Macaca mulatta: one gene and its partner. The protein of the gene in region 2 purifies or fractionates together with the protein of the main gene of each other region. This does not show direct contact. Links are inferred from orthologs where the notes say so. Each region holds a gene or a part of one and is shown on either strand. Other genes may lie near its edges.

Region 1 (10,788 bases), on a different chromosome or scaffold from region 2:
CTCAGCCTCTCAAGTAGCTGGGACTACAAGGCACGTGCCACCATGACCAGCTAATTAGAAAACATTTTTCAATACAGATGGGGTCTCGCTTTGCTCCCAGGCTGGTCTCAAAGTCCTGGGCTCAAGTGATCCTCCTGTCTCAGCCTCCCAAAGTGCTGGGATTACAGGCTTGAGCCACCACGCCCGGCCCTTTTGTATTTTTAGTATAGATGGTTTTTCACCATGTTGGCCAGGCTGGTCTTGAACTCCTGGCCTCAAGTGATCTGCCCGCCTCAGCCTCCCAAAGTGCTGGGATAACAGGCATGAGCCACCGTGCCCGGCCGAAATTCTTTCTTCTTTCTTGCCTTACATCAGCCTGAACAAGTCCGTGATTGACAAGTGTTCAGTGGACTGTCACATGGTTTCTTCTGCTCTTCACAGCCACCCTATGCAGCAGGTGTTAGTATTAGTGTCCTCAGACGAGACGACTGAGGCACATAGAAATCTGGTGACTTTCTAGAGGTCACCTGGCTTTGTCACTGAAGGAACCAGGATTTTTATTCTTTTTTTTTTTTGAGACGGAGTCTTGCTCTGTAGCCCAGGCTGGAGTGCAGTGGCTGGATCTCAGCTCACTGCAAGCTCTGCCTCCCGGGTTCACGCCATTCTCCGGCCTCAGCCTCCCGAGTAGCTGGGATTACAGGCGCTGCCACCTCGCCCGGCTATTTTTTGTATTTCTTAGTAGAGACGGGGTTTCACCGTGTTAGCCAGGATGGTCTCGATCTCCTGACCTCGTGATCCGCCCATCTCGGCCTCCCAAAGTGCTGGGATTACAGGCTTGAGCCACCGCGCCCGGCCAGGATTTTTATTCTTTAAAAATTTTTATTTATTTTCTTTGAGGCAAGGTCTCACTCTGTCTCCCAGGCTGGAGTGCAGTGGTGTGATCTCAGCTCACTGCAGCCTCAACCTCCTGGGCTCAAGTCATCCTCTCACCTCAGCCTTCTGCGCAGTTGAGACTATAGGCATGCGCCACCACGCCTGGCTAATTTTTGTAATTTTTGTAGAGACAGGGTTTCACCATGTTGCCCAGGCTGGTCTTGAACTCCTGAGCTCAAGCAATCCTCCCACCTCGGCCTCCCAAAGTGCTGGGATTACAGGCATGAACCACTGTGCCCCACCTGAAGGAACCAGGATTCTAACTGTGCCTGTCATCTCCAGTCCAGTGTGCTTTCTGTTACAAGAACAACAATTCATCCCCTGCGGCAGCAGGCTGAACAAATCTGCTTCCTCAGATGAAGGAGCCACACTGAGCCCTCTGCCGAATAGAAGGAACAACCCCAAATTCCAGAGCCTAGGGAGGGCTAGGGAAGGGGTCGCAACGAGGATACCGGCATCTCAGGTGCTCTGCTAGTTTTCCCAAAACGAAGCAATTCAAACAAGACATTTTTTTTTTTTTTTTTTTTTTTTGAGACGGAGTCTTGCTCTGTCGCCCAGGCTGGAGCGCAGTGGCCGGATCTCCACTCACTGCAAGCTCCGCCTCCTGAGTTCATGCCATTCTCCTGCTTCAGCTTCCTGAGTAGCTGGGACTACAGGCGCCCGCCACCACGCCCGGCTAATTTTTTTGTATTTTTAGTAGAGATGGGGTTTCACCATGTTAGCCAATATGGTCTCGATCTCCTGACCTCGTGATCCGCCCGCCTTGGCCTCCCAAAGTGCTGGGATTACAGGCGTGAGCAACAATACAAATATTAATATGGGCCTGGCCTTAAACATCTGAAAGGGCTGTCCTTAGTTCCACTGTTTTTTATCTCAAGGATGAGGAAATGAGAGAAGAAGAGGTGATTTCAAAGGCTGTCCCATGAGCCCCAACTTAGAGAGAGAAGGTTGGCTAAGTAAAGACAATACCCATTCACGTTCCCCCAGGGGGAATGAATTCGCTTCTGTTTAGCATTTCTGTGTCTTTGCTTGAGAAATTCTAGGTACTTGTAGACACAGAGGAGATGATGTATCCCAATGGATGTGTGTTGAGGAATCCATTTGTGGGCATAATAGTGCTAAACAGTGGTTACATACGGACAGATACGAAGCCCGGGAATAGTTGAAAATTGGGTGAATCAGAAGTGGAATACAATCATATTTTTACATGGTTTCTAGCTCTCCTCTCTCCTGCCTTAAATATCTTGACCTCATTCTGGCTGTCTCACTACTAAATAGGCAAATTTACTTTTAGCAAGGCTGCTTCTTTTAAGACTGTGTGTCCATCTCCTGGACAAATTTGGAATAGCAAGAAATTTGTTAGGAATTAAGGAAAGGGACTTTCCCAGGCAGCAGCCACTTAGGGCTGGCCGATTCTGAGCATGTTCCGTCTTCCCAGGCCTGGCTCACAGTTTTCAGTGCTTAACGCGCATGGCGCTTTGTGCGCAATTTCACTTAATTCTTCCCTCAGCCATCGGGAGCTAAGGACAAACTGTTATCCCAATTGTACAGGTGAGGAAATCGGAGCTCATTTAAATAAATTGCCGAGGTCACACAACTAGTAAGTGACAAAATCTCAGTCAAACCGAGGCTCTTTTGGCTCAAAGGCGTGTATTGAGCCCTACTCTGCTCTGCAGGGACAGAACTAAGTATGTTTTCTATTCAGGGCATGCACAGTCATTCCATGAGTGAGTTACACAATGTAAGATAAGGACATTGTGAAAAACAAAACTATACCATACATAATGCACTTTATAATAAAGTACTGGGAACAGAGTATGTGGTAAATTGTAACTATAATAATAATTTTAAACAGATCCACTAATCACACATTATTATATTCTGTTTCACTCGGGCTTTGCCTTGCTTCCCACTTTTGTACTAGGTCCTCTTGGCTTTAGTTTCTCCCCAGTTCTCTACCCTTTGAACTCTCTCCAAAGCTTCCCTAGAATTTTTGCTGTCCTAGAAATTAGACAGGCACCTGCTCACATCATACATCCCCTACCCTTGTCACCAGACATACACACATCCATCTTCTGGGCTTTCTGTTCTCTTGCGGAAAAGTCTGCAGGGGAAGCTGAGGCAGAACCAAGTCCACCAGATTCCGAGGAAAGATAAGTATGGACTCTGTAACCAGATAAAAGTGAAGCCACAACTTCACTTATTCCACAAATACTTTTTGACTACCTATAGATGGCACGCACTGTTCAAGGCGCTGAGGTTCCCACAGTGACAAAAGAGACAAAAACGTCTGCCTTTGTGAGTTTGTATCATAGTGGAAGGAAACAGACAAAAAAAGTAAGTAAAATATAGACACTGGTATGTAGATGGTGATAAACGATAACGAGAAATATAAAATAAGGACAGATTGGAAGTGACAACAGTGGGGAGGTAGAATTGGTATCTGCATTTAACGTTTTCTAACAACAAATCCAGGGTGGGGTACAAAGCAGTGAGAAAATGAGGCCCTTATGCTCAGCGCCCCCAACCCTGCGTCGGTGGGGTCACTATTCACTTTGGAACACTGCCCTTGGGACCAACATATTCTCAGTGATCCTTGTGAAGGTTTCCACCCTAAGTCCCTCATCCTCACCAGGCAATATTTATTCTCCCAAAGCAAACTATGGAGGCAACGCGGAGAAAGTGTGAATTAATTCAAGACTAAGGTTGCCAAAATGTGTGATCAGCTCTGCCTCAGCCTTGACATTACATTACAGATTCCCTGATCGCCGCCGTCGCAGAAGCTCTGAATTGGAAGCGTGCATGTATTTGCAAATCCATTGCTGGCATTTCTTCCGTTAGCCTCCGCTGGAACTGGTTAGTGAAGATCCCTCCATTTCACAAGACAGCTTCAGTTTTGTTTTGTTTTGACTTCCCCACTCCGAAGCTGTAGCGCACTTTGTTTTCTCACGGAACAGGGGCGGCTTCCGGGGCGCGGCGTGCTGGGGGTTGTAGTCCACAATCTCCCGCCTGTTTCCGTTATAGAAGCCGATGGGCCGGGAGCTGCGGAACTACAACTCCTAGAGTACCCCGCGCCGCTGGGACGCCGTGCGGCTGCGGGGCGGGGCGAGCGCAAAGATGTCCGCGCCCGCTGCTGGGAGGCGAGGTGAGAGTGTTTGACCGTAACCAGGCGCCCGGAGCTGAGGCAGTTCCTGCACGTGTCGCGGGGCCGGAGACGCTAGGGCCAGGTATTCCAAGGATGCAAGAATCCTGCAAATTCGACATGTAAACTGCTTCCTCAGCCTCCAGGCGAGCCCTGCCTTTGCCTCAGGCCCCTTCCTTTTCCTTCTCGGGGAATCGACCTCGGGAAGGGGTGTGGGCAGAGATGAGGACTCTCCCTTTTCGCCCAGGCCAACTCGGGATATCCCGGAGCCTCTGGGGAGGCGGTCACTCCGACGTCTGAGGACCTGGGCCTTGGGCCCGGACTCGTTATGAAGAGCGACTGCTCGACCTCTGCAGCCCCCTTCAGGGGGCTTGGGGGACCTCTGCGCAGCAGCGAGCCGGTGCGCGCGGCCCCGGCCCGGTCGCCGGCCGTGGACCTTCTGGAGGAGGCGGCCGACCTCCTGGTGGTGCACCTGGACTTCCGGGCGGCGCTGGAGACCTGCGAGCGGGCCTGGCAGAGTCTGGCCAACCACGCCCTGCCAGAGGAACCCGCGGGCACGTACGTGCTGGGCTCGGAAATGAACCGATTTCCGGGTGCTCTTATGGTGGGGCCCAAGGTCTCAGGAGTTCTGTCATTCCCAGATTGCCCACAAGGAGCTTTACACCTCGCTTTCATCAGTGGTTTGTCTCCGACAGGGTGGTTGCTCATCGTGTGCCAATTCTACAGAGGAGGGAAGTCGTATAACAAGAGCTTAGTGGCGAACCCACGGCCAATTATTTGCTCCTTGTTCCAGGGTAGAATGGCATGATGCGAAGGCTGAATGTGTATTAAGTGCTAAGTTCTGTCAGTAAGCAGGTGGTAAAAGTCCTCTCCCAGGTACCTCCGCCCCGCCCCGCCCCGCCCCGCCCAAGGTTGTTTATTCCTGACCTTGCGGATGATGGGGAATGGGGGTCATGGCAGGAGCAGTGTTCTGGTCCAATTGGAAGAATGGATTAAATAATTAATTCAGGGCCGGGCGCGCGGGGGCTTACGCCTGTAATCCCAGCACTTTGGGAGGCCGAGGCAGGAGGATTGCTTGAACCCAGGAGTTCGAGACCAGCCTGGGTAACATAATGAGCCCTCTTCTCTAGCACAAAGAAGAAAAAGAAAAGAATCCGGAGAAAAAAACCTTGGGCTTGCATTGCTCTTTCTAGTGCCACCAGCCTTGTCTGGCAGGTGAGAGCGTCATTTCTTTGCATTGTAAAGTTGGGTTAGGCCACTCCAGGGAGGTGTTAGGTAGAATAGCGAAAGCTGACCGCAGAGAAGGATGATCTGGAGAGCCCTGGCTGTGTTTTAGGGTACTGGGTGGAAGCTCATTTCAGTGAATGCAGAAGGCTTTGCTTCTCGGTGTCTGGAGGAACCTTACTAGGTGGTGTCTTTTAGCCAGCTGTGGAGTTGCTATACCTCCATTCAGCCAGAAACCTTGCTGCAAGCCCATTTGTTCACTGAGCAAACTTAGTTCCAGCTCTTTTTTGTCCCACACACCGGTGATGCGTGTTATTTCCCCCTCAGGATTACCCTTCCTCTTCATTTAAATCTGATTTCACTTGGATACAAAGAAGAACGTTGAGCAATAGCTGACTTGCCTCTTAAGAGGTTTACAGGAACTTTTAGTTCCTGGGGGAAAGGGCAGCCCATGAGACCAATTGTGAAGCCCATCTAAGTACTAACAGGGATGAGAGAGATGATGGCTGCTGAGTTGGGAGCTGGAGAGGAACAGTCCCAAGGTGGAGGTGGGCATGGAAATGGAGGGGAACCACTTCTAACTGAAATTGGTTTTTCTGCTGACAGCTCCTTGGAGGTGAAGTGCTCCCTGTGTGTTGTGGGGATCCAGGCCCTGGCAGAAATGGATCGGTGGCAAGAAGTCCTCTCCTGGGTCCTTCAGTATTACCAGGTCCCTGAAAAGCTACCCCCCAAAGTCCTGGAGCTGTGGTGAGTCGTCTTTGCTGACTCATCAGATCATTTCAGAAACAAGAGGATTTGCATCTCCTCTCCGCAATCTGGGCCTAATACCTACTCTTTTCCCCTTCCCTACTATTGCCCTCCACATCTAATTCTTTCCCTTCACTTCTTCTTTTTTTCCTAGAGTTCCATACATAGCAATAAAGAATAAGGGAGGAGGAATTTAGGAGTAGAATAGATATAAAGAAGGGAGGGGACAGGGAATAGGAGTGACATGGGATGACAGAGTGGACCGAGCTGAAAGAGCAGCTTGCTACATCCTGGGAATTTCTAATTCTTAAAAAAAAAAGTTTTTTTGTTTTGTTTTGTTTTTTGTTTTTTTGAGATGGAGTCTCCCTGTGTTACCCAAGCTGGAGTGCAGTGGCGTGATCTCAGCTCACTGCAAGCTCAGCTTCCTGGGTTCACGCCATTTTCCTGCCTCAGCCTCCCAAGTAGCTGGGACTACAGGTACCTGCCACCATGCCCGGCTAATTTTTTTGTATTTTTAGTAGAGATGGGGTTTCACCGTGTTAGCCAGGACGTTCTCGATCTCCTCGGCCTCCCAAAGTGCTGGGATTACAGGTGTGAGCCACCATACCTGGCCAAAAAAAGCAAAGTTTTAAAAATTGACACTTGTAATTGTACATATTTTTGGGGTAAGTTTGACATTTCAATATATGCTGTGTATATGTTGTATAATGATCAAATCAGGGTAATTGGGATATCCATCACCTCATGCATTTATCATTTGTTTGTGATCAGAACATTCAAAAGCCTCTTTTCCAGCTATTTTGTAATATGCAATACCTTACTGTTAACTATAACCACCCTACTATGCAATAGAACACCACATCTTATTCCTCCTATCCCATCGTAACTTTGAACCCATTGACAAACCTCTTTGTCTCCCTTTTCTTCCTTTCCCAGTCTCTGGTAACCACTGTTCTACTCTCTGCTTCTATAATATCAACTTTTTTTTTTTTTTAAAGATTCACATGAGTGAAATCGTGTAGTATTTATCTTTCTCTGCCCGGCTTATTTCACTTAACCCGATGTCCCCCAGGTCCACCTGCGTTGTCATGAATGAAAAGATTTCATTCTTTTTCATGGCTGTATAGTATTCCATTACACACACACACACACACACACACACACACACACACACACACACACTCTCTTTATCCATTCATCTATTGTTGGACACTTAGACTGATTCCATATCTTGGCCATTGTGAACAGTGCTGCATTAAACATGGGAGATAATGGATTGCTAGATCATGTGGTAGTTCTATTTTTGTTTTGTTCACCTGGCCATTCTTTTTTTTTTTTTTTTTTGAGACGGAGTCTCGCTCTGTCGCCCAGGCTGGAGTGCAGTGGCCGGATCTCAGCTCACTGCAAGCTCCGCCTCCCGGGTACACGCCATCTCCTGCCTCAGCCTCCCGAGTAGCTGGGACTACAGGCGCCCGCCACCTCGCCTGGCTAGTTTTTTGTATTTTTTAGTAGAGACGGGGTTTCACCGTGTTAACCAGGATGGTCTCGATCTCCTGACCTCGTGATCCACCCGTCTCGGCCTCCCAAAGTGCTGGGATTACAGGCTTGAGCCACCGCGCCCGGCCACCTGGCCATTCTTGAGTTTATTTTGATGACACTCGGTGAGAGTTCCCTGTACCTAGAAGAAGGTGTTGGGACTCTTGGTGTTGAATGTGGCTTGTGCTGAAGACACAGGACCTGGTAGGGCAGCAAGAACTTGATCTCGGAATTGTGGAACTGCTTGACTGTCGGCCGGGGGCACTTGCTGGCTGCAATCTCCTCCACTTTCATGATCCAGATGGTGTAGGCCCTGGTCATGGTGCCAGGTGCCCATCTTGGTAGCACTGGGTGGTCAGGTCCCACTATTCTGCATTCATATTGTGGATGCTGCAGTAAGCGTCATAGTGTAGCCAAATGCCAAAGTTCTTCACTTGCAGGGGGATTTTTGGAACACCTGCCCAGTAGACACTTGCCCCTGAAGACTTCATCTTCTTTTTTTGTTTTGAGATGGAGTCTTGCACTGTTGCCCGGGCTGCGGCTCACTGCAACCTCTGCCTCCTGGGTTCAAGCAATTCTCCTGCCTTAGCCTCCCTAGTAGCTGGGATTACAGGTGCTCGCCACCATGCCTGGCTAATTTTTTGCATTTTTAGTAGAGACGGGGTTTCACTATGTTGGTCAGGCTGGTCTCGAACTCCCTACCTCATGATCCACCCACCTTGGCCTCCCAAAGTGCTGGGACTACAGGCGTGAGCCACCACGCCCGGCCAAGACTTGATCTTCTTTAGTTGAGATACAAAGTACCAGAAGCGGGACTTGGCAACAACTTGCTTAGGTGCAGAGATTTGCTGGCAGTAGAAGGGCAGCATTTGGGGGTGAACAGGCGGCAGATACTCTTGCAGTGTGCCCAAGGCCTTCATGGCATTCTCTCAGCACTTGCCACCACTTGCAAAAGGAAGTGCCGTCTTTCCTATTTTGAATTTTTTAAAGGAACCTGCATTCTGGTTTCCATAATGGCTATACCAATTTACAGTCCTATTAGCAGTGTGTAAGTGCTCCCTTTCTCCACATCCGCACCCTCACCAACACTGATTTTCTTTTGCCTTTTTAATAAGAGCTGTTCTACCTGGAGCGAGGTAGTGTCTCAGTGTGGTTTTGATTGGCATTTCCCTGGTGATTAGTGGTGTTGAACATTTTTTCAGATACCTGTTGGCCGTGGTACATCTTCTTCTGAGAAATGAGAAATGTCTATTGAGGTCTTTTTCCCTTTTGAATCAGGTTTTTTTTTTTTTTTCCTGCTGTTAAGTTCCTGATATATTCTGGATATTAACTCTTTGTCAGATGGATAGTTTGCAAATATTTTCTCCCATTCTGTAGGTTGTTTCTTCACTCTTAATTGCTTCCTTTGCTATGCAGAAGTTTTTAGTTTGATGTAATTTCATTTGTCCATTTTTGCTTTTCTTACCAGTGCTTTTAAGGTCTTACTTTAAAAAACCCTTGCTCAGCCCAGGGTTGTGAGGCATTTCTCCTTTGCTTTCTTCTAGCAGTTTCATAGTTTCGGATTTTACACTTCAGTCTTGAATCCATTTTGAGTTAATTTTTGTGTGTGGGGAAAGGTAGGGGTCTGGTCTCCTGCATAAGGATATCTGATTTTCCCAGCACCATTTATTGAAGAGACTGTCTACGCTGTGTGTGTTCTTGGCACCTTTGTTGCAAATCAGTTGGCTGTAGGTGCATGAATTTATTTCTGGGCTCTCTGTTCTGTTCTATTTTGTCTGTTTTTATGCCATACCATGAGAGCAGAACCATTCTGTTGTGGTTACTATTATAGCTTTGTGTAGTATAGTTTGAAGTCAGGTAATATGATACCTCCAGCTTTGTTCTTTTTGCCCACAACTGCTTTAGCCATTTGGGGTCTTTTGTGGTTCCATAAGAATTTCGGGATTTTTGTTTCTTTCTCTTTTTTTTTTTTTTTTTTTTTTGTGAGACAGAGTCTTGCTGTGTCGCTCAGGCTGGACTGCAGTGGCGTGATCTCAGTTCACTGCAAGCTCTGCCTCCCAGGTTCACACCTTTCTCCTGCCTCAGCCTCCCAAGTAGCTGGGACTACAGGTGCCCGTCACCATGCCTGGCTAATTTTTTTGTATTTTTAGTAGAGACGGGGTTTCACCGTGTTAGCCACAATGGTCTCAATCTCCTGACCCCATGATCCGCCTGCCTCGGCCTCCCAAAGTGCTGGGATTACAGGTGTGAGCCACCGCGCCTGGCCAGGATTGTTTTTTCTATTTCTGTGAAGAATGCCATTGGTGTTTTGATAGAGATTGCATTAAATCTGTAGATGGCTTTGGGTATTTTAATAATATTCTTCCAATTTGTGAATGGACACAGGATATCGTTCCATTTTTTTGTGTCCCCTTCAACTTCTTTCATCAGGTTTTATAGTCTTCAGTGTAGAGATCTTTTACCACCTTGGTTTAATTTATTCCTAGGTATTTTTTTTTTGGTAGCTATTGTAAATGGAATTGTTTTCTTGGTCTCTTTTCCAGTGGTATATAAATGCTGTTTTTTTGTACGTTGATTTTTGTATCCCACAACTTTACTGAATCCGTTCATTAGTTCTCTCTTTTGGAGGAGTCTTTAGGGTTTTCCGTATATAAGATCTTATTATCTGCAGACAGGGATAATTTTACTTCCTCCTTTCCGATTTGGATACCTTTTATTTCTTTCTGTTGCCTGATTGCTCTGGCTGTGACCTCCAGTACTCTGTTGAATAAAAAACGGTCAAAGTAGCCATCTTTGTCTTGCTCCTGATCCTAGAGGCAAGGCTTTCCGCTTCCCATTGAGTATGCTGTTAGTGATGGGTGTGTCCTGGCAAATTCCCATTAGCATCCACATTTCATCGGAAAGGGCTGGAGGGCACAGTGAGGAGGGGTTGGATAGGAGAAGCATAGTGGTCATGAGAAATGAACCAGTCATTGAGCACTGACTCTAATTTTGTTGGGATCGGGTTTTTGGGGACTGCAGCATTCTTTTATACAGCAAAATGCAAGAGCCTAGAGCTGTGCTGGATGTGGTGGGTGCCTGGCTCCAAGACCCAGCCAACCAAGACCTTCCAGAATATGGAGCCTTGGCAGAATTTCACGTGCAGCGGGTGCTGCTGCCTCTGGGCTGCTTGTCGGAGGCTGAGGAGCTAGTGGTGGGCTCTGCAGCTTTCGGTGAGGAGCGGCGAC
Region 2 (10,744 bases):
TAATAATAATAACAATAACTTTCATAATAAGAGTTTTTGAAAAGTAAGACCAAGTATACAAATGCATCGCACAGATGCTAAAATGCTGATGAAAGACAGCTTAACTGAAGTGTCCAAGGCCAAGCAAGTCAGGTTTAATTCTGAGATCAGCAGCACGGCAAAAAGATCTTAAGAGGAAGGGGAGCAAATAATGAAGATAACCCTAGGCTGTCACACCAACACTGAGATAATTAAAGCAGTTAAAAAGTAAGCTCTGGAGAAAGAGTCCAAAGCTTGGGTTTTAATCCTTATTTTTGTCCTTAATTCATCTGTAATAATATAGGCCGGTCACAAACTTTCTGAGACTTAGTTTCCTCACCAAGAAAAATTAGGACACAGGTCAGATAATGTCAAAGGTCTTTCTCCACATTAATGTTTTATAATGTCCTTTGTCATACAAACACATTAAGTTTTCCTGGTGCTATTTATTTACTTATCTTACAAGTTAGACTTCAATGGATACAGATGACTGGGGATTCTCAACAGCTCTCTTGCCAGATTTCTGAGTAAGTTTTCCAAGAGTTTTCCCACTTTATTTCTCTCTACCACTATCTGGTAGAAGGGGCATATGGGGGCATTTAGTCAATTGCTGGTCAAAAGTAGAACTTCTCCATGATTAGCAGTGACAACTAGTCTGCAAATCATAACTGCTTCTCACTGCATTCTGGTCAAAGCCTTAATTCCTTAGCATGGGACACAAGGCCCTTCATGATTCACTTCTTATCCACTTTTCTAAACTTATCTCTCACTGAAACCTTTGAGCTTTGGTTATACTGTATTAACTAAATTTCCTTAAATGCATGATGCTCATTTATTCCTCTAAACACTTAAACATCCTGCCTGGCTTGCCTTTCCATCTTTTCCTCTCCCTTTTAGTTAATGTCTACTTATCCTTCAAATTTCAGCCACTTCTCACATACTGTAGGAAGTCTTCTATGAACCAACATTTCTCCCTTCTCAACCCAGATTATGTAGTGTGCTGAAGAGAACCCTTACAGTTACTGAATACTGTGATGCTTTACTTGCCTCTCCTCCCACTAGACTAGGAATTGCATGATGATACACCTGGCAGAGTACCTGACATACAGGAGGCATTTAGCAATATGCTTTCCATACCTTTATTTTCAGTAGTTTTTACTACATATGCCTTCCGCACTTGTAGTTTTTTTCTAGTTTCTTCAACTGTTTCAAATTCTGGCGCATAGCACACATGAAGCAATCCACCGAAGAAACTCTGTTCATCCATTTTTCTCTTGGCTGTCCTGAATGGAAATATAAGATAGCATGGTTTTTTAATCTAGATTTACTTGGGATGAAAGCTTAACTAGTATACAATATCTGGATCTAAAGAGCAAAGTCCAACTTTTGCTATGTGTATATATATCCTGTGGATTGGCAATTAAGATGCTCTGCTTGTGGACAGTATTCATCCCATTGTTCGAGTATGTACTTAGAGCCTCCCCTTTTCTTCCCTTCGAGCCTCTTTGTTCCCTAGTCTTTAAACAACTAAAGACCCAGCTGGTTGGCCTGAAGTATATAAACTGTGGTCATAAAATAGAGCTTTTCTCTGTGGCCCTGAAGAGTTACTTCATACCCAATTAAGCTTTTTCAGCACAATGTATTTCTGTAATGGGATTCTTGCCTTAAAAATCAGATGAAAAATACTATAATCATAAAACGTTCAATAACTGAGGAACTATTAAACATATAACAATGAGAAAATGAGAAGAATGTTATTCAGTCAATAAATACTTACTAAACATCTATGATTGGCCAGGTACTACAATAAATTTAACTACTTCTGTATCCAGGGATAATGACAAATACTTGCTCAGATTTTACCATATGCCAGGCAATGTTGTAAGTGCTTCACTTGAATTAACACCTAACAACAACCCTGTAATGAAACAGAAGCACTGGGACATTACATAACTTAGCCATGCTCATACTCTGGTTTGAGGAGCAAGGATTCAAATCCAGATGTCTTACTTCAGAGCCTACTAGACTAGGTACTTTGGAAAACAGAAAAGCTCGAGAAAATATTTCTCTAACCATGACAGCTGGCAGATTGGTTAAGAAAGTGAGATTACATATAACAGCAGCCTGAGAAAACCACACATGACCCAGTAAAATCAAGTGCTTTTGTGGTAGATTATGATTTCTACTGATAGCACATGAAAGAAAATATGAATTGTAACAGCCAGAGAAGGATGGGTCTCAGAGCAGATTAGTGAGGAGAACAGAGATCAACATAAAAATAGATAAGGCATTGCATACTTCAGCCTTTTTGGAGCAGAGGGTTTATGTCACATAGAAGGCCGGAAAACACTGAGTCAATTTGCAGAAAGGAGTAACAGTAGAAACCACAATAGCTAATGCTTACTGTATTCTGACCAGGAGGCACTCTGCTAAACCCTTTATATGGATTATCTCATTTCATCCTCATACAACCTCAAGAAGTAGATAGGTCCCTTTACCATATAGATTTTACGGAACAGGAAAAACTTAAACAGGTTAAATAACTTGTCCAAGATCACAAAGCTAGTAAGCAGTGGAAATGGAAAACTTACTCCAAACCCAACATTTTTTTTTCTTTTGAGACATAGTCTCACTCCATCACCCAAGATGGAGTGCAGTGGTCCATAAATGACTCACTGCAACCTCCACCTCCTGGGCTCAACTGATTCTCCCACCTCAGCCTCCCAAGTAGCTGGGACTACAGGAATGCACTACCACGCCCACCTTGATTTTTGTATTTTTAGCAGAGGTGAGGTTTTGCCATGTTGGCCAGTCGGGTCTCGAACTCCTGGGCTCAAGCTGTCTGCCCACCTTGGCCTTCCATAGTGCTGGGATCAAATTCAACTTTTTTTTCTTTTCTTTTCTTTTTTTCTGGGACAGTCTCACTCTTTCCAGGCTGGAGTGCAATGGCATGATCTTGGCTCACTGCAACCTCTACTTTCTGGGTTCAAGTGATCCTTGTGCCTCAGCCTCCCCAGGAGCTGGGATTAAAGGCTTGCACCAACACAGCTAATTTTTGTATTTAGTAGAGTCAGGGTTTCACCATGTTGGCCAGACTGGTCTTGAACTCCTGACCTCAGGTGATCCGCCTACCTCCACCTCCCAAACTGCTGGGATTACAGGTGTGAGCCACATGCCTGGCGCCAAACCCAAATTTTTTCTGTTTTTTTTTTTTTTTTTTGAGACAGAGCCTCGCTCTGTCATCCAGGCTGGAGTGCAGTGGTGTGATTTCTGCTCACTGCAATCTCCACCTCCCGGGTTCAAGCGATTCCCATGCCTCAGCCACCTGAGTAGCTGGGACTACGGGTCTGCACCACCACACCCAGCTAATTTTTGTATTTTTAGTAGAGCCGGGGTTTCCATCATGTTGGCCAGGCTGGTCTTGAACCCCTGACCTCAAGTGATCTGCCTGCCTCGGTCTCCCAAAGTACTCTGATTACAGGCGTGAGGCGTGAGTTATTGGCGCCCAGCCCTCAAACCCATTTTTTTTTTCTTTGAGGCGGAGATCCCCTCTTGTTGCCCTGGCTGGAGTGCAATGGCGCAATCTCGGCTCACTGCAACCTCTGCCTCCTGGGTTCAAGCAATTCTCCTGCCTCAGCCTCCTGAGTAGCTGGGATTACAGGTATGCGCCACTAGACCCGGCTAATTTTGTATTTTTAGTAGAGACGGGGTTTCACCATGTTGGCCAGGCTGGTCTCAAACTCCTCACCTCGTGATCCGCCTGCCTCGGCCTCCCAGAGTGCTGTGATTGCAGGCGTAAGCCACCGTGCCTGGCCAAACCCAACTTTTACTCTACCACGCTACAGGACATTAAATTGTTAAGCATGGGATGTGATGGATACAGTGTTTCAGTAAAGTTAACCTGTAAAAAGGCTGTAGGAAGATATGCTAGATTACATTTTGGGGTAATTCAGATATGAATGAGGGAAACTTGGGGCCAAAATGACAGAAATATGAATGGAGGAAATGAAACGAGTCATTGCTTAACTTGCACCTTACCTTGCACTTTGTAAGTTCATAAATTTAATAAGATAAACTTCAGTAAAGTCTTCTGCTGGGTATTCATCTAGCGCATTGTACTGTTCAATTGCACCATATAAAGCGAATCGCTCAACTAATTCCTTCATGACTCCCACAGCAGGAACTCCTTGTATTAATAAGTACTGAGATTCCAAATTGATTGTATATACCTGAAAGAAATGCATAGTTATTAAACGTATTTCGCAAATAAGCCTAGGACGAATCTGCCTCTATTTTTTTTTTTAAACAGAACTTTGAAAACAAGAAATAATCTGTTCAACCCAGTCAGCAAAAAACACAAAATAAAATTTCTGCCATTCCCTCTGCATAAAGAGTAACAGTCCATGTGAGAGGCTACCTAAGGCATATAACAGACTACCTTCAGTCGACATTTTTTTCCAGAAATTGAGTCGGCAGAAGTCACTGGGAACAATCACTCAACGAATATTCACTGAGCGCTTACCTGTGCCAAGTAGTACTGTAAACACTGAAGATCCAATGACTAAAACCAAGCCCTATTCTCGTGGAGTTGATGTTCTAATAGTTGACCAAAAGGGTCGTGAGAATCTTTGGTACCTGGCCCAGGGTTCTTCACGCCAGCTCTAATGAGCGACAGATCTGACGGAAGCCTTGTCGTGCCTTTATTTCCGTAGGTTAGCCATATGGCGCTAGCGCTCACAAAAAGCTACCGAGGAGAGCGAATGAAACCAAAAATCACTTTACCTTGACAGCACGAGGCCGTCGTCCCTCCCGATATTTGGCCCGCGTGTCGCACACCGCCCTCTGGACGTGGTGGTCAAATAAACTCCCTAACTCCCCACCGCTGGACGCCATCTTGCCTACTTTGATCCTCGCAGGGAGGACAACATCCGCCCTGCTGACCTCCCTTTTATCCAATAAGAGAGCGGGATGAGTTAAGGAGTGTCAGGATTGGCTGAAGAATCGACAGCGTCGGCCATCGTTTCCTGCGTGCGAGGATTTGATGAACGAGGTGCCGCCCCCGAGCGGCTTGGCGGAGAGGCGCGGTGGGTGACAGAAGCTTTCTTGTCCCACCCCACTACAGGCTTACGGCGAGACGCGCAGCGGGGAGAGGGGGCGGGGCCTCAGGGGGCGGGGCCGATCGATCTCCTCCGGTTCCGACGTCCTCGGCCTGCCAGGTCCCGTGTCCTTTGCGGCGCTAGGGTGGGCAAACCCAGAGCGACGCTTCGGGACGATGTGGGGCAGCGATCGCCTGGCGGGTGCTGGGGGAGGCGGGGCGGCAGTGACTGTGGCCTTCACCAACGCTCGCGACTGCTTCCTCCACCTGCCGCGGGGTCTCGTGGCCCAGCTGCACCTGCTGCAGGTAACGTGCTGGCCCCGGGCCACCTGATCTTCAGCCTGGGGTCGGACAAGGCCGAAGCCTCTCAGGGACGCGGCGGGACACCGGCTGCCACCCGGGCGCCCCCGAAGCGTACAGAGATTAGGGTCCCTCGACGGCAGGGCCCTTCTGGTTAGTCTCTGCATCCCGCAAGTCCAGTGCAGCCCTGGGCTCGTCTTATCCCAGGTCTTTTCACTTGGTGAAACTGGGCCTAGAAATGTCCTAATATTCTACCACTGTTTTTATAAATATTCCTCATTCCAGGCTGGAAAAGTTCCTGATAAGTGGTTTGTTTTTGTTATTTTAAAAGGTGCTTTTCTTGCCAGTCATTTCCAGTTACCTGCGCTGCTGCCGTCCGGGCCGCGAGAGGGAGGCGCAGAGTTGTTGGTGGAGCCCCTGTCGGTCCCCGGGGACTGAGCACCGCGTCCCATGAGCGGGAAAGCTTAATACAGTAATGGTTCTGCCCTGCGTCCCAGACCCTCGGAACACAGCTGTAGTGTGTCAGGAACACATAACGTAGTTAAGATCACTTGAAGCTCTGCGATCAGTCGCCCTTCTGGACGTTGTGGTTGGGATGTTTCGCAGTTCTAACCACCGGTGGAGATACAGCGTCCTTATTTTCGTAATTAAAAATAGAGGCACATGGTCTCACGAGTTTGAGTGTGGTTATGGGGGCAAAAGGACGGCGTATTTGAAATCTTCATAAATCCTGGATGCATGGTACCCACCAGTGGCTAATCTATGTAATGAATAAAGAGTTTGCAATAATTTCAAGCATCCCTTCTTTCCACTTGAGTTACTTCTCCATACCTAGGGGAAGATTTTTTTGGTCCATTGAAAACATGAGTTCAGCAGAATCCTCCTATCATCGTCGTTATTATTTTTTACTACTAAGTAGACAATCTTGGTTTTTGATGGGCTTTATGGTTAGAGACAAATCAGTCACTGTCACCAAGTTCCAGGTAGAAGTTGGTTCAGTGCTCTGTCAGCTTCGATGGGATTTTTCAACATGTTTTCAAATCCACTCATGATAGTAGGAATGCTTTCTTACAGTAACTCTAATTTGATCCTAAGATGTAGTTGTTACCTTACATTCATCACTGTTTAAGAATTTAGTGGTCTTGATCTTTGTTTTAAATTTTGAGCCTTCGAGAAGTATTTATAAGAATTAATTCATGTTACCTTACATTCGTCACTATTTAAGAATTTAGTGGTCTTGATCTTGTTTTAAATTTTGAGCCTTCAAGAAGTACTTATAGGAACTAATTCATGCATATCTTTTTGAAATGTAAATGTCTTTAGCCCTGGAACAAATTGCTGTTTCTGTTCAGCCCATATTAGCAGAATAGGTCAACTTTGCTTTCTAATTATCAATGTAATAAGTTTATGACTTTATAGATTCTATAAATCTATACATTTATTTCTTGATGAATTATATAAATTTATATAATTTATGTTTTGTAGAAAATTTAGAAAGCATGGAAAATTGTTAACAGGAAAATAAATTACCCGTAATCCCAGAACTTAGAGGTGACTAATGTTGACAGTTTGGATCAAATCTTCCAGTTTTGTTTCTAATCTTCATTTTTAACAGAAATGAAGTCCTATATACACACATACAGTTTTGTGTCCTAGTGTTTTTACTTAATGTTATTATGAGTGTTTTATTTTGTTAAAAGGTCATCTTTTTAAGTTGTTAATTAGTATTCTAGCACAAATTTGCCATAATTTATTTAACTGTTCACTATGATTGACTATTTAGATTGTACTTAATTTTTAGGCATTAGAAGTGATAAACTATATTTTAATCAAACGTTGAAAATAACACATCTTTGTTTAGAAAACATCATTTTTATTTCTTGTTGTCTAGGATAGATTCCCAGAATTCTTGGGTTAGAGGCCATAGATAATTATGAAAGCCGAAAGGTTCACAAATTGGGAGTTAATACTTGAATTATTTTATTTGGGGTGAAACATTGAGTACATAATACAGATCATGCAGTAATGGGAAGAGGGGTTGGAACAATGGTTTTCTGGCTTATGTCAGACTTACCTTGAAGCTTTTAAGAATACAGATGTTCTGTTGGGAGGCCAAGACGTGCGGATCACGAGGTCAGGAGATCAAGACCATCCTGGCTAACACGCTGAAACCCCGTCTCTACTAAAACTACAAAAAAAAAAAAATTAGCTGGGCGTGGTGGCGAGCGCCTCTAGTCCCAGCTACACGGGAGGCTGAGGCAGGAGAATGGCGTGAACCCAGGGGGCGGAGCTTGCAGTGAGCCGAGATCGCGCCACTGCACTCCAGCCTGGGCGACAGAGTGAGACTCCGTCTCAAAAAAAAAAAAAAAAAAAAAAGAATACAGATGTTGTGATCAACCCTCTGACCTATTAAATCAAAATCTTAGGGAATAGACTTTAGGCATCTCTAATTTTAAAAAATTTATTCAGGCTACTTGGATGCACAAAAGAGTTGAGACCTACTGTCCTAGAATCATAGAATGTTAATGACCATAGAGACCTTAAGCATCTAGGTTGTTTCTGTACGTTTACACGTAAGGAAAATGGCATTCCTAGGCCAGTACCATTGCCATGCAGCTAATTTGCCCTCTTGTCTATAGCTCACTCTGCGTCACCCAACCTACCCTTCTCACCGTTTCTTCTATAACCAATCTCCTTCCCACTTCTGTTCTCTTACTCATGCCATTCTTCCCTCAGTCGTTTTTCTTCCTTCCATACAAATTCCATGTCTTTGAAAAGAGTATAATCCTACCTCCTCCACATAGCTTTCCAGTTCTCTGTTGCCCACGTTTGTCTCCCTTTCAATACTTCTCTATTGTGTTACGTGACACATCACATTTGATATACTTTGTTCTATGTTTCAAGTATTGTATTCTCTTGTTTACTCAAGTCATTATTTCAGGACTGACTCCCCAGTAGATGCTTGAAGTCAGGATTTCTCAACCTTGGCACTGTTGACATTTTGAGCTGGATAATTTTTTGTTTTGGGGGCTCTCCTGTACATTTTAAATGTTTAACAGCACCCTTGGTCTCTATCCAGTAGATGCCTGTACTGCCTCCCCCTATTTGTGACAACCAGAAAGGTCTTCAGACATTGTCAGATGCCTACTGAAGGACAAAATCACCTCTGGTTGAGACCACTGCTTCAGCTAAGTTACCTTCTCTGTACTCAGAACTTGATGTGATTGCAACAGAGAGAGAGGATTCATATACACAGTGAATGCAAACGAACCTAAATCACCGTTCGGATATGGCCACACAATTTTCATTTCCCTTGTGTTAGCAAGAGATACCCCAGGCTTTGGACCTGGACATTCCTAAGGCATTCTGACGGATGGTTTTACCTGCAGATTTCCTGGTAATACTGATACCTCAGTTTGGGTCAAAGAAGGTCAATTAATTGATTGATTTGATTTGACTCCTGGGAAAGAGGCTCCTTTCTAGCTGTCTCTTTCTTCTCTTTACCTGAATAGCCAGGGCTCTGTGGTTCAAGTGAAGTATTTTGACATAAAAATTAGAACATTGGTGTGCAAAGTTTGCTAAATCTAACTGAGTACATATTATGACTTTATGGAGCTGGTTACTCCTTTTTGACCAAATAAATAATTAGAAGTATTTTTCCTCCTCAATAATGTTCATTTCTCCTTTTTTTCAGTGAGCTGGTAGAGTTTCCTTTTTTTGATATTTCAGGGCATCTCTCGTATTTCCATCTCTTAAGTTTCTTCATATGAAGTAGAATTGATCTGGATTATGTATTGCTGACTCGGATGAAAACCCACAGAAAGTATCTGGGACTTGATCACCTTCATTCTTGTAATAGCTCACACAGTTACAGCTGACATAGTAACTGAAGACTTTTGATTCCAAAGCTAGGCAAAATACACTCAGTTGAAAGAATTTGTCAGCCAGAACAGTTGGACTGTTTTGTGAAAATTGTGAGAAAAATTACACAACTAAGTGATACATGATGATGGCTTTCTTAAATATAAAAGTGTAATAATGTGTTTAATTTCCAGTACGTGATATTGTCCCAGAAGTGACTCCAACATTGTTTGAAATTTGTCTCATATAAAGAAACATAAACTGGCTGCGGTGGCTCATATCTGTAATCCCAGTACTGTAGGAGGCAGAGGTGGGCATTTCACCTGAGGTCAGGAGTTTGAGACCAGCCTGGCCAACATGGTGAAACCCCGTCTCTACTAAAAATACAAAAATTAGTTGGGCATGGTGGTGGGGGCCTGTAGTCCCAGCTACTTGGGAGGCTGAGGCAGGAGAATTGCTCAAATCTGGAAGGCGGAGGTTGCAGTGAGCCGAGATTGCACCACTGCCTTCCAGCCTGGGTGACACAGCGAGACTCCGTCTCAAAAAAAAAAAAAAAGAAACACAAGAAACATAAAGACTGGGCGTGTTGGCTCATGCCTGTAATCCCAGCACTTTGAGAGATTGAGGACTGAGGTGGGAAGATCACTTGAGCCCAGGAGGTTGAGGCTGCAGTGAGCTGTGATTGTGCCACTGCACTCGAGCCTGGGCAACACAGTGAGATCCTGTCTCAGGAAAAAAAATTCCATGTAAATGAAAGAATTTGATATTTTAAATTAATGAAAAATGTTCTGTAGAGATATAGATCTTGCCATGTTGCCCAGGCTGGCTTTGGACTTCTGGGCTCAAACAGTCCTCCTGTCTTAGCCTCCCAAAGTATAAAGATTACACATGTGAGCCACTGCGCCTGGCCTAATATTTTTAACTTAATGAATTTATTTTGATATAAATAAATTAATAACACTGAAGCTTCCTGATATAATAAGTCTTTTTGTGTGTGTGATGGGTTCTTACTCTGTTGCCCACGCTGGAGTGTAATGGCACTATCATGACTCACTGTAGCCTCAACCTTCCTGACTCAAGTGATCCTCCCACCTTGGCTTCCCAAGTAGATGGGACCACAGGTGTATGCCACCACACCTGGCTGGTTTTTAAAATTTATTATTGATACATATTAATAAAATTCTTTTTATTTTATAAATGATATATGTGGCTGGGCATGGTGGCTCAAGCCCCCGACAGTTTGGGAGGCCGAGGTGGGAGGATCACTTGAGGCCAGGAGCTTAAGACCAGCCTAAGCAACATAGTGAGATCCCATCTCTATAGAAAAAAAAAAATTAGCTAGGTGTGGTGGTGTATGCCTGTATTCCTAGCTACTCAGGAGCCTGAGGTGAGAGGATTGCTAGAGCCCAGGAGTTTCAAGTTACAGTGACCTATGATTGTGCCACTGCACTCCAGCCTGGGCAACAGAGC

What was found. Proteins that work in one complex are often made in the same cells at the same time.
Region 1: the proteins of PEX1 (region 2) and PEX26 purify together in Homo sapiens (affinity purification with western blotting; 3 studies listed by BioGRID and IntAct, with this or other methods). This does not show direct contact. The link is inferred for Macaca mulatta from reciprocal best matches to the Homo sapiens genes PEX1 and PEX26.

The regions. Positions count from the first base shown.
Region 1 is NC_133415.1:33,993,933-34,004,720, reverse strand, and holds the start of PEX26 (peroxisome assembly protein 26), read left to right. Parts: upstream 1-4,010; 5' UTR 4,011-4,382; coding exon 4,383-4,612; intron 4,613-5,884; coding exon 5,885-6,025; intron 6,026-10,582; coding exon 10,583-10,788. UniProt on the Homo sapiens protein: Peroxisomal docking factor that anchors PEX1 and PEX6 to peroxisome membranes. PEX26 is therefore required for the formation of the PEX1-PEX6 AAA ATPase complex, a complex that mediates the extraction of the PEX5 receptor from peroxisomal membrane.
Region 2 is NC_133408.1:126,860,703-126,871,446, forward strand, and holds the start of PEX1 (peroxisomal ATPase PEX1), read left to right. Parts: upstream 1-5,265; 5' UTR 5,266-5,290; coding exon 5,291-5,419; intron 5,420-8,492; exon of another isoform or gene 8,493-8,786; coding exon of another isoform or gene 8,787-8,810; intron 8,811-10,744. Other genes in the region: RBM48 (RNA-binding protein 48), read right to left, coding at 1,156-1,301, 4,057-4,247, 4,801-4,911. UniProt on the Homo sapiens protein: Component of the PEX1-PEX6 AAA ATPase complex, a protein dislocase complex that mediates the ATP-dependent extraction of the PEX5 receptor from peroxisomal membranes, an essential step for PEX5 recycling.